3 linked regions of the Diceros bicornis minor genome follow. The protein of the gene in region 3 interacts with the protein of the main gene of each other region in a pairwise test. Links are inferred from orthologs where the notes say so. Each region holds a gene or a part of one and is shown on either strand. Other genes may lie near its edges.

Region 1 (3,744 bases), on a different chromosome or scaffold from region 3:
GGGGGCACCCACTCACCGCCACCCCCACCACGCCCGTGCCGCCCGGGTACAGGTGGGAGGCGGCCCCCCCGGCGCGCAGGTGCCGCGACGTAGAGCCAGCGGCCGAGCGCCAAGGCCACGCCCGCGTGTAATCCCCGGGTCTCGGGGAAGGCGGTGGAGGGACGGTGGAGGGGCAGCGAACCCGGGGGCGCGGGTCCCAGAGCCAGGGGAGGAGCAGGCCCGGGGAGCCCTAGACGCTGCTCCGAGGCCAAGTGAGGAAGCTGAGGCTAGGCACGGGTGACATTGGCCCGAGCAGCCGGCGGAGACAGAGGGGCCCACAGTGCAGGAGGGAGGGGTGGGGAGACCCCAGTGGACACGGCCGGCCGGGTGAGGGGAGAGGGGCCTGAGCCCGTGGCAGTGCTGAAGGGAATGACCGAGGGGCCGCTGGGAGGAGGGGATCACACCAGGCAGCAGCCAGAGCTGGAGGGGAGGACACAGGAGGGAGAGGCTACTTGACCTGCTGAGGTGGGGTCACCTTGGACTCTGGAGTGGGACTCAGGTAGGGGAGGGTGTAGGCAAGGAAGCTGGGAAAGTGGAGGCCGGAGGACGTTAGAGGAGGGTCCCTGATTACGGAGCAGATGGCTGGGCAGAGCTGAGGAGGGTGCTGAGGAACGTGCGGGTGTGGAGCCAAGAGGCCAGGGGACCCGGCGGGAAAAATCAGAGGTGAAGAGACGCTAAAGCAGACTTTCCAAAGACCAGAACCTGAATGGCTGACATTTCACGAATTAACGCTGCTGAGTGCACAATGCAGTAATTTCCAACAAATGCTCCTTTGTCCGGAGGAGGCCTCTCCGGCCTGTTCTGTGCGTACTGAGCAGCCATGGGGGGGCTACTTCCCTCTGCCCGGTTTGTGAGGTACCCTCCCACCCCCGTTTGTCCCGGAGGAGCTCTGCGCAGGCCTGCACCAGCTCGGCCTCTGTCCCCAGCTAGCTGGACGGCCCCTGTCGCAGTGGTGCTAGCAGCCTGCCCCAGGGCGTCCTTGGAGGAAGCCCTGGAGCCACGCGCACCCGAGGGGACCTCACTGTCCACCTCCAGGACACCCTGCAGTTCTCGTACAAGACACCTCACCGGACACTAGGCCAGTGATTCAGATCCCAGCCTCCCCCTGCGGGGTCCGGTGATCTAACTGGGCTGGTGCAGGGGCGGGAGGAAGGCCCAGGTCAGCGGCGTTGTGGCCCTTCACACGCACGGGCGGTCAGCGCCGCCTGGTTCCCCGCTGTGCCCGCGGGGGTCCGGCTCCCACATCATCACCGGCCCCTCCCCTGCCCGAGAGGCTCAGGAGGCGGGGTCTGGGTGCTAATCCTGGGCGAGGCCGCCAGGCCTTTGATCTCCGCCGGGCCGCGTGGGCGCGGGCGGTCGTCCTTGCCCCTCCCAGCCTGGCGCCGGCGTCCCCGGGGGTCGAGGCTGCTGACTCGATCCGTTTGCACTGAAGCCCAGCCGCGCGCTCGGGTCCGGACTAGCGCTGCACCCGACTCCAGCCGCCGGGGCCGTAGCCTGGACTCCCCCCAGCCCGCGCCCCAAGGGGCGCCCAGGGCCCGCCGGGGTGGGTTTCCGCAGCACGTGTCCGTCTGCCGGGTCGCGTGCAGGAGACTGACGCTCTCCCGCGAAGGTTGTGGGGAGGCCCGGGGGAGGCACCGCCGGCCGTGGCTTGGGGCGGACGGCGTGGCGCACCTGGCTGCCTGCGCCTCCCGACGGACGCGGACGAGGCCAGTTCAGGGGTGAAGTTCAGGAGTGAAGCGGCCGCGGGGACAGGGTGACCGTCTCGAGGACACCCTCCTTAAGTTTTGGGCTCCACCGTCCCCCGGGGGCTCTGCAGTTGCCCAGCCCCAATGGGGGCAGCTGGGGCGTGGGAAGAGTGATGTCGCGTGGCTGCAGCTGAGTTCACGCCCTGAGCGAGCACACCCCCCTTCGTGTCACCCCAATCTGGAGGTAGCTCCTGGGGCACCGAGTGAAACCCAGCAGAGGGGCTGGGCGGGGGCGGTGGATGGTGAGAGAGAAGGGCCTGCAGAGCGGAGGGTCCTTCTCTGCACAGCCCCTCCCCGCCCTGTCTGGCTTGTGCAGTCTCCTTCCAGGAATGCCTGCCCTACATTCCTACCCAGCTGGACAGCCTGGACGCAGCAGACACCCGCCCTGGCCGGGCCCACTGTGTCCTGCGAGCAGCGATGCTGACGCCCCACTTGTAGCGAACTCTCCCTCACCGCGGGCACTGCAGACACACGAGGCAGGTTGGAGGACCAACCTGGAGCGAGAAGATGACCTGGCACCCCATAGGACAAGCCCCCAGGGAGGGTGCTGGGGTGGGAGGGGCCGTCCTCACCTTCCTGCAGCCTGGGCCAGCCGGGTGGGGGTGGGGGAGATGAAAGGATGTAACGAGTTCCCAACCTCCCCCAATCTCCCCTAACGCTGACCGAAGCCCCGCCCCTCCCCAGACATCTTGGAGCCGGGGGAGGTGCGAATGGCCTCCTTTGTGCCTCTGAATTGAAGGCAATTAGGTGCTACTTATCTGGGGGGGGATTTGAGCCATCTATGCAGACCTGCCTCCCAACCCTCCTTCTCCTGAGCTTATAAATGTAGCCCGGCCCTGCCAAACTGAGGCGACCCTGTGCTCAGCCCAGGCCACCTGACCAACTCTCTGCTGACGCTGCGCCCAGCCCCCACCGTCCGCCCTGCAGAGGACCCTGTACCTGGGCCCACCACCATCTATCCCCAGGATCCTGAGCAGAGCACCACGTCCAGCCATGCCTCCCTTCCCCGCCCTGCCTTGTGGCCGCAAGCCAGCCTCCAGCTTTGGCTCTGTGGCCTGGCTATCTCAGAGCAGCCATGCAGAGCAGTCGCACACCTCCAGGCCCGCTGAGGTCTCTTGGGAGAGCTTCTCTGCCCCAGCCAGGGTGTCCGGCAATGGGGAGCCCCCTCAGACCGTGGGCATGGGGGAGGTGAAGTCCTCAGAATTGTCTGCGCCAGGGACGCCCACAGCTGGTAGGTCTGGAGATGGGGGGAGGTCCCTTCCTCCCCAGATGAGGATGGGAGTTGGGGAGGGTTCAGGAGGTTGGGGGCATTCTCACTAGGGCTGGGGTTTGGGGTTTCCTGACCTCTCTGGCAAGTGAACGCTTCCCCTTGGAAGCAAAAGCCACAATGGGGGGTTTCCCTCCTCAAGCCCCTTGGGGCTCCTCTTTCCCACCCACCTCCTACAGGGGCCAGCCCCCTGCCCTCTTGCCCAGGCCTGGGCCCACCAGTCGCCACCCCCCACGTCCTCACTGTGAGCCATAACGCTGACGTTAGTGCCTTTGTGCACGTGGATTTCAGATTCTGTAAAAGTCTTCGGGACCCATTTCCACCATGAGTCACAGGGTTGTGGATAAGTGTGTCATAAAGCTTATGAAACCTGCCCAGTCCAGAGGGCTCCTTGTGGCCCCACCCGAAAAGCCGGGCCCCTTAGTTTGGCACCTAGACTTGAGTTGGAATCCTGCCGCGTTAGTTCACGGGGAGCCACGACCTAGTGACGCCGCCCTTTGCATTTCCGCATGTGTGAATTTTGGTGCCTTCTGCGTGCTCGGCTCCCGGGAGGTCTGGTGGCTCCTCAGCTCTGTCTGACCTTTTGTTCACTGCCGAGAATCCTCAGTTTTGTCTCTGTGACGTAATCATCACTTTTAGGTTTAAAGTCCAACGTGGTCAAAAATGGGGTTCTTGTTATACATAAGTTTTCAT
Region 2 (3,744 bases), on a different chromosome or scaffold from region 3:
AGACTCCTGAACTATGTTTATTTCTAAATAATAATAAAACGTTTCCAACGAAGGTGTCATTTATCACAGATGTTGCCTAATTCATCATTTGATCAACTAACTCTGAGAGTACATATTAGCCCTCTGATCATCAAAATTAAATAGAGATACAATAATAGCTATAGATTAATAGCAGATAGAAAATATAGTGGCAATATATGTATAGACGATGTATAGATCGTATCGGTAAGTGGTTTGTGGATATTGAAGTGAACTATTTCACACCATTAATCAGCCAATTATCTGGACTGCTAAATAAAAGCAGTGACATGAGACTTCTACACAAACTATCATGACAGCAATGGCTGGGAGAGACCTGAAGGTATGGCTCTCCCACCCTGAGAGTGAGCCTTTAGGAAGGATGGGAGGTGTGGCTAGAAAACCTGATTCTGAATAAGACAGACAAAAATAAATGTCTGCCTGTACTATGCTTCAGGCATTTAGTGAAACTCAGAAAAATACACACATGCACGTACGCACACGCACACACACCGCATTCTGACACTATCACAGCATCACCTTACAAATACTTCCACTGAGAGCATGACAAGCCCTTTCAAGAGCGGGGTGCATTCCAAAGCACATTTCAAAAACCCACCTCCATCTATCTTCATATAGAACCATGACTCTGATTTAGTCATTTCTAAATATTTGTCATGGCTGCTAACATTCCCATTGAGCCTCCCCTTTCCATGGCAGGAGTATTTTCCCTCCTGGAAAAGATTGCCTGGGAGATGCTGAGAACTCCTGCATGGATCCTATAAACTTGTCCTTTTCATGGCAAGAATAACCTCTCACTCAGAGTCCCTGTCTTCTTTCCTGAGTTGTGTCTAAATGAGCAAACCAATTTAACAATCTAGAAGGAGGAAACATCGATCTATTAAAAAAAGAATATTGCACAGAGAAAGTGTGAGAACACTGACTACCTATAGCATTCTATTTATTAGGTACTGCTGTTCAAACTGATTCATAAATAACATGAAAGAAGTGAATACAGGGAGCAAATGATCAACTAATATTAATAATTTGATTAAATCCAACTGAGGCTTATCATCTGTAGAAATGCTCATTAGGACACTCTTCTGGTGGGTAACTGGTGTAAAACACACTCACACACACACACACACACACACACACGGGAACTCACAGAAAAGGCATAGAAATGTTAGAAGCAGATGCATCATATAATATGTTACCAGTAGGCTCTTGGGAAGTGTTTCCTGGCACAATTTACTTAATGAGAAATGGAATAAAACAATATTTAAAAAGATAAACCAATTTGTTTCCAAGATATTAAAACAACAAAAAAGGCTGTTGGCAAAAAGACTTGCAACAGAAAATACACCTAAGAGCGATTTTCTGGAGGCAACCAACTTGATAACAAATTACCCAAATGTTGGAAACAGAATATTGACGTTTTATGAACACATATATTCCTGTAACACAGATTGAAACTGAGGGTCTTCGGAGAAGGAGGCCCCTCTGAACACTCGTAGAGGAAGTTTAGTCAACCCCAACCACACACAGTTAACAAATGGTGCTCTGGAAGGGAGTCCATCGAAAAACAAATAAAATGTCTACAATCACTGTTAACTCTTCATGCAGCAGGGTGGTTGATCCTAGGAAGGGAGAAGGATTCCCATCGGCATGAGAAAACCCTCCTATCCCTGCCGGTCACATCCGCAGCCCCTGCCCAGTGAGGCAGAGCTGGGCTTGTCACTCCACAAGGTTCCCAAGCCCAGGAACCAACTCAGCCTGCAGCCCTACTAGTAAAGAAGGAAAGAGAGACAGAGAGGGTCCAAGGGAAATACCCAGAGAAAGACAGAGAGAAACATAATGAATGATTCTGAAATGTACACAGAAGGGAATATAAACACAGAATCCCTGGCAAGACCATTAAAAGGGAATAGAGGAGAAAAAAAAAGCCTTTACACATGCCAACAAAGACAGCATCCCAAACTGCTCGCCTTCATCACAGCACACCAGTGAGTTTGGAGGCAGATTCTGGGGCTGAGACACTCCAGAAACCCAAAGGCTCCCATCCCAAGCGGACTGAATATAGCACAACCCAGACAAACTTAAGAAAACAAAAATACGGAGCACACGTACACACACACATATGTTTTTCCACTCCCTATTAAAACAGCTGAATTAAAACTCCAGGCACCCAAGTGCCTCCACAAAGATCCAAACTCTTAGCATAACTCTTAGCATCAAAAGGGTCTTAGACTCAGATCGCCACCGGACGCACTGTCACGAGAAAAATGCGAGGTAGGAAGATGCAGTTTGCAATTTTAAACTCCCTGTACCCAAGCTCAGAATCAGGCGTTCAAAGTATTCATTGAGGTGTAAAAACAGCTCAGCGCGGGGTGTCTGGGCTCCACAGAGAACGAGGGGCTCGGTCCCACCCCTCCCGTCCAAAAGCATGAGCCCCTTCCCCAAACCCCTCCAAGGTACCAAAGCGCAACCCAGCGACGCGGGTACCGAGTTCGCCGAGCCCCGGAAAGCAGCCACCGAGGGAAGACGCGCGCCTTACCTGCTGTAAGTACATAAAAGTCAAGGCACACGAGAGCTGGGGACACATGCCCACGTTGGGGAGCGCCACGCAGGTGGCCCCCGTCAGAGGATGCTGCATCGTGTCTCTCTGGCGCCCGCCAAGCACGACTGGGGACGCTCGCATGCAATCACGCCGCTCTTTGCCTGGTCGCTACAATTTTTTTTTTCTTTTTAATTTTGCTGATTATCTAAGTCAAAACCCGGTGGCTGTCTTTCTCCTCTCTCTCTCTTTCTCTCTCTCCCTCCCCGCTGCCGCACCCCGCGCGTCCCTCCTCCCTCGCTTTCCTTCCCTCAGGGTTTGCTAGATCCAGGCGTTCATCTGCCTCCAACTAAGACACTTGAGAGGGCCAGGAAACTATTTTGTTTCCTTTGTGGCGCTATCGTTTCTCTGGTTTATTGGGCCTACTTTCTGATGCCCCTCAAAGTGGAAGGTGCCCCCCACTCCACGCCCCCGGGAAGATGACAAGAACCGGCAAAGGCAACTTCTGTGAAAGGTAGAGGGGGTGGATGCCCTCCTGTAGATGCTGAGTAGAGGGGGGGGATAAAGCTAAGGGCGAGAGAGAGAAGGAGGGGGAGAAAGGAGGAGAGAGAGAGAGAGAGAGAGAGAGAGTGAGAGAGAGAGAGAGGGATTTTGACTCACACTGAGGCTCACTCGGCTGGTGCTGATGCTGCGTGCCTTCTCATTTGTCAAATGGGTCCAGGGGCAGGGTTGTTTTTTTTTTTTTTTCCCTCCCCTTTGCCTTTTTTATTTTTTTTTTAAACGACTCACCAAAATTCAAATTGTGTCTGCTAAAAATCTCCGCGGGGCGGGTGAGGAAGCAAGCGAGCGCCCCACATCGCCAGCATCCAGGCGAGCTGGACAATTACTGCGATTGCCCAGCTGGGACCCGGAGTCTTAGATTTTGGTGGCGGTTTGTTTGCCTGACTCGTTGGAAAATAAACACAGAAATGGGATTCCCCCTCGTGAGAGTGCTGAGACGATGCTAGGGGCTGGGGGCAGGGGGGGCTGGGGCTGCAGGCGCCTGAGGCAGGGCGGTTTCTGGGGGTCCCCCCACCCCCAGCAGGGCGGCCCGGCCGGCGATGCACCCCCAGGCGTGTGGGGCGCAGCTTTCGCTCTGCGCCTCGTCTTGGCTGGGCAGGCAGCCGCGA
Region 3 (3,744 bases):
TGGCAGTATCGGGTTCAACTCTTCATCTATGGACTGTCATATCGTCTATTCGCGGCCATTCTTCTTTCTTCTTTCCCGTCCTCTTGCTCTTCCTTTTCTGGGGAAACACCGGAGGAACAACCACTGACTCCTGTGGCCAGAGAGCCCCGGGCAGGCGGAGGGTCAGTTCCGAGATTAACGGAGCCTCTCCAGTGACGGGGGGAGCCCGCTGGGCAGCAAACCCTAAGTCAGCCCTTCTCTCTGCACCTCGGCCCTCGACCTCCCCTGCTACCGCGCCGCCCACCCCGGCACCCGCTGACCTCTGCGCAGGGGGGAACGGTCTATCTCAGCGGCTGAGAGCGGGATCAGGCCTGTGGGCCCGGGTTTGAATCCCAGCTCCCCACTTCCTTGTGGGCCGTGGAGACACCCCTTTAGGACTCTGAACTCGGTTTCCTCTAATGGACAACGACAATAAACAATGGTACTAACTTCATGAGCTCGTTAGGATTCAACATGACCACACAGGAAGCCCAGCACTTGGCACAGGGTAAGCGCCCAGTGAAATGGCAGTTGGGGTAAAAACAGGGGAGCCAGGGGCAGGGCCCCGCAGGGCTGAGGTTTGGGCGGAGTGGCGGCGGAGCGAGGCGGGGCGCGGCGCCCTCGGCTTCTAACAGGGGAAGGCGCTCTGGGGTCCTCCGGGCCCCCACCCCCACCCCGCCGGAGGGCATGGGGCACCGAACCCGCGGCGCCCCGCGCACCGAGCCGTTGCGGTTGAAACCCACAGAAGGAATTCCAGCGCTGGACGGGAAGGGTGTGGGAGCCACTGGCTCGCAAATCGATCCAAGCCGCCCGGCCCGGCCCGCCTCGCCGAGACGGCACCCTTTTAAGGCGTTGGGACCCTTCCCAGGCCAGTCCCAGGCCAGCGCGGGGGGCGCGGCAGGCGCCTGCTGGGGGCGCCGACCCCGGGGGCTGCGAGCGGCTGTGCGCTCGGCTCACTTCGTGCGGGGGCGGCCGAGCGGCGCTGGACAGGGGCCGGGAGGGGCAGCGGGGAGAGCCAGCCTGCCCGGCCGGCCGGGGCGGGGGCCGTTGGCCCTCGGAGCGCGCGGGCGTCCCTGGGAAGACCGAATGAGACTCTAATGAAGGGCTCCGGCCTGCACGGTGCCTAGCACAGCGCCAGGCGCTCACCCGGTCCTCCGCGAGGCTTAGCGGGCGAGAATGGGCTGAGCCCCAGGCGCCGCAAGGTGTCACGGGCCTGTCGCAACGGGGCAGTGCCAGGGACCGTGGGGAGAGCCCGCCCTCCCCCTCCAGCTGTTCCCAGATGTCATCCTGCCCTTCCAGGCTCCTGGTTCCTGAGCTCAGGGGGATTCCACGGTTACTAAGCTACTGGTTTTTGTTGACTTTTAAATATTTTCTTCTAAGGGAGAGGGGGAGGGGGGCAAAAGTCAGGAAAGAGCAAATAAAAGCAAATCGAAATAAGCTCCTCTCCCCAAAGGAAAGTTGTCCTCCATCCACCACTCACACACAAATCGAAGGCCTCTGAGCACACTCATCTTGCTGGAGCAACCTGCTTCTGCCCCATCCTCATTTCCCTTTTTGGTGAATGAGGGGTGGTGGTGGATGGTCCCCTTGTCTTCGAACCCTGGGTGGACAAAGGGGCTTCCGGAAAGAGAGGAGGAGGATGGCCAGTGGGAATGGGCTCCCTTCATCGTCGGCCCTGGTGGCCAAGCGCCCCTCTGCCCTGGGCCCATTCCCCAGATACATCTGGATCCACCAGGACACGCCCCAAGACAGCCTCGACAAGACTTGCCATGAAATCTGGAAGAGAGTCCAGGGCCTGCCCGAGGCCTTGCAGCCCAGGACCTCGAAGGAGCAGCTCTCTGCCCCCATGGCTGGGACTCCAGGAGACAACGTGCTCAGCTTCCAAGAAGAGTGAGTGTCCCCCAACATGGTGGGCATCAAAGGAGGAGGGAGGAGATGAGGTCTCACCTTCTGGGGGAATGTTCTGGCCCACTGTTTAGTCTGGTTCAACCCTAAAGGCTGTATACTTTTTCTCCACCCCCATGGTCCTTTGGCCAATTTTTATGGGAGAGTTAACTGGGGTCCTGAAGTTACTTGGGTGACAGGCCAGACTAGGGCTGAATTTTTGCTGCCTCTTCACCAGCCCACAAGGGGACATTTCTCATCCTTAAGTCATAGGCAACTCAGATGTAGACCTGAGAACCTTGAAAAACCACCTTAGTCAGGGCTGAGCATTAGATATCACAGTTTTCCCACAAGGCAACTAAAAGATCCTTCCCCCTCCTGCCTCCAAAGGCTAGGCATTGGCACAGATGAGTCTGGTGGTTTTAAACCACATCTGGAATTCCCTAATACAGGGAGCAGCTGTCCCATTCAGCATCCACAGAAGCTGCTGCAAGAGCACACATCAAAATATTTACTGGGAAGGCACTGACATATTCAGAGGACATAATAGAAAATTAACGTGCGGGAAGATGGCTGTAAATAGCCCATTTCCTAGTTGGGAAATCCTGTGTCTGGGAAACACAGAGCTAAGTGTTTCTCCGCCGGGGCAAAGTTGGACAGATATTGTTGGAGATGGATATTTACAAGGAGAGGAAGGAGGGACCTCGTTAGGAAAAGCAAGTGAATCCGCCATGGTTATTAATGTCACTGTTGAGCATTTGTTCAATGCTTTGCATCTTCAAAGAGGGCTGCCAGCATTAATTAATCCTCCTGAAGTCCTAGGAGGCAGGTATTAGTGTCCCCATTTTACAGATGGATTAAGTGTTAATAATTAAGTGGTAATTAAAGACTAAGTGATAATTAAGTGTTGCCTGTTCTAACACATGCTCCAGCTCAGTTCAGAGATGCTCTGGAGTAGGGGAACCATTCAGGCAATTATCAGCTGGTCTGGTTTCAGGGAATTCTATGCAAGAGCAAGAGGACAGGCAAAGGGTAACTGCCGCCCAGGTCTGCACGACCTGCCGTCCCTTTTCAGGCTCACATACTTGCTGCAGATGAAGGTGGAAGGCACCTTGGCTATTATTGCCTCCCCTGCCCTGTGCTCAGCAAGACATGGCTGGGATGGGAATGGCCTTTCTGCAGCCAAAATCCCACTGTCCGGCCCTCCAGTGGTATTGAGTCCCTCTCCCCTGCCCATTGCCATCTGCTCTGGGATGGGCCCTTGTCAGGGGGCCCGTGGGGCTGTGCTCAGCTCTCAATGGCCAAGGAGTTGATTGTCCACTTTGTGGAACAAGGGGCAGTGGCAATTTCCAGTAGATGGCACCATCTCTGCCAGGTCACACTGAGTTAATGGAGACAGCCTCTATTTCCAGTTCGCACTTGGCCGAAAAGCGACCTGGCGCACCTTTGGCCAGTTGCTTAACTCCATTTGGCCTTGATTTTTTCATCTGCAAATTGAGGATGATATGCCCTGCCTTGTCCACCTCAGAGCTGATAATGAGGATCAAATGTGATGAGAGACAGGAAATGGAGAGCTGCATTATACAAATGAGGCTGTCCCTAAGTGTAATTCTCAGGGTTCGGGGGTTTTTGTTGTTGTTGGCTTCAGTCTGGGGTTTTCACACTATGCTCATAGACCCTAGGGTGCTTCAGAGGCCACCCTAGAGTCAAGTGGCCTGATTGCTGGGCCCCATGCCCATTTCAGTCAGAGCTGTTTGGCTTTTATGGGTTTTACTTACTGGAGTTCTAAGTAAAGGCTGCGTTTGAAAAAAGAGTTTTGCTACTGAGAAAAGAGCTGGGAAA

The links. The genes of interacting proteins can lie anywhere in the genome.
Region 1: the proteins of C13H1orf94 (region 3) and VENTX interact in binary tests that used the Homo sapiens proteins (3 or more experiments, as listed by UniProt). The two-hybrid records come from large-scale screens. The link is inferred for Diceros bicornis minor from reciprocal best matches to the Homo sapiens genes C1orf94 and VENTX.
Region 2: the proteins of C13H1orf94 (region 3) and RBFOX1 interact in binary tests that used the Homo sapiens proteins (3 or more experiments, as listed by UniProt). The link is inferred for Diceros bicornis minor from reciprocal best matches to the Homo sapiens genes C1orf94 and RBFOX1.

The regions. Positions count from the first base shown.
Region 1 is NC_080745.1:95,298,072-95,301,815, forward strand, and holds the start of VENTX (homeobox protein VENTX), read left to right. Parts: upstream 1-1,503; 5' UTR 1,504-1,968; exon of another isoform or gene 1,969-2,100; 5' UTR 2,101-2,777; coding exon 2,778-3,015; intron 3,016-3,744. UniProt on the Homo sapiens protein: May be involved in ventralization.
Region 2 is NC_080765.1:41,860,417-41,864,160, forward strand, and holds the start of RBFOX1 (RNA binding protein fox-1 homolog 1), read right to left. Parts: upstream 2,675-3,744; coding exon 2,576-2,674; intron 1-2,575. UniProt on the Homo sapiens protein: RNA-binding protein that regulates alternative splicing events by binding to 5'-UGCAUGU-3' elements. Regulates alternative splicing of tissue-specific exons and of differentially spliced exons during erythropoiesis.
Region 3 is NC_080752.1:48,636,835-48,640,578, forward strand, and holds the start of C13H1orf94 (uncharacterized protein C1orf94 homolog), read left to right. Parts: upstream 1-1,579; coding exon 1,580-1,908; intron 1,909-3,744.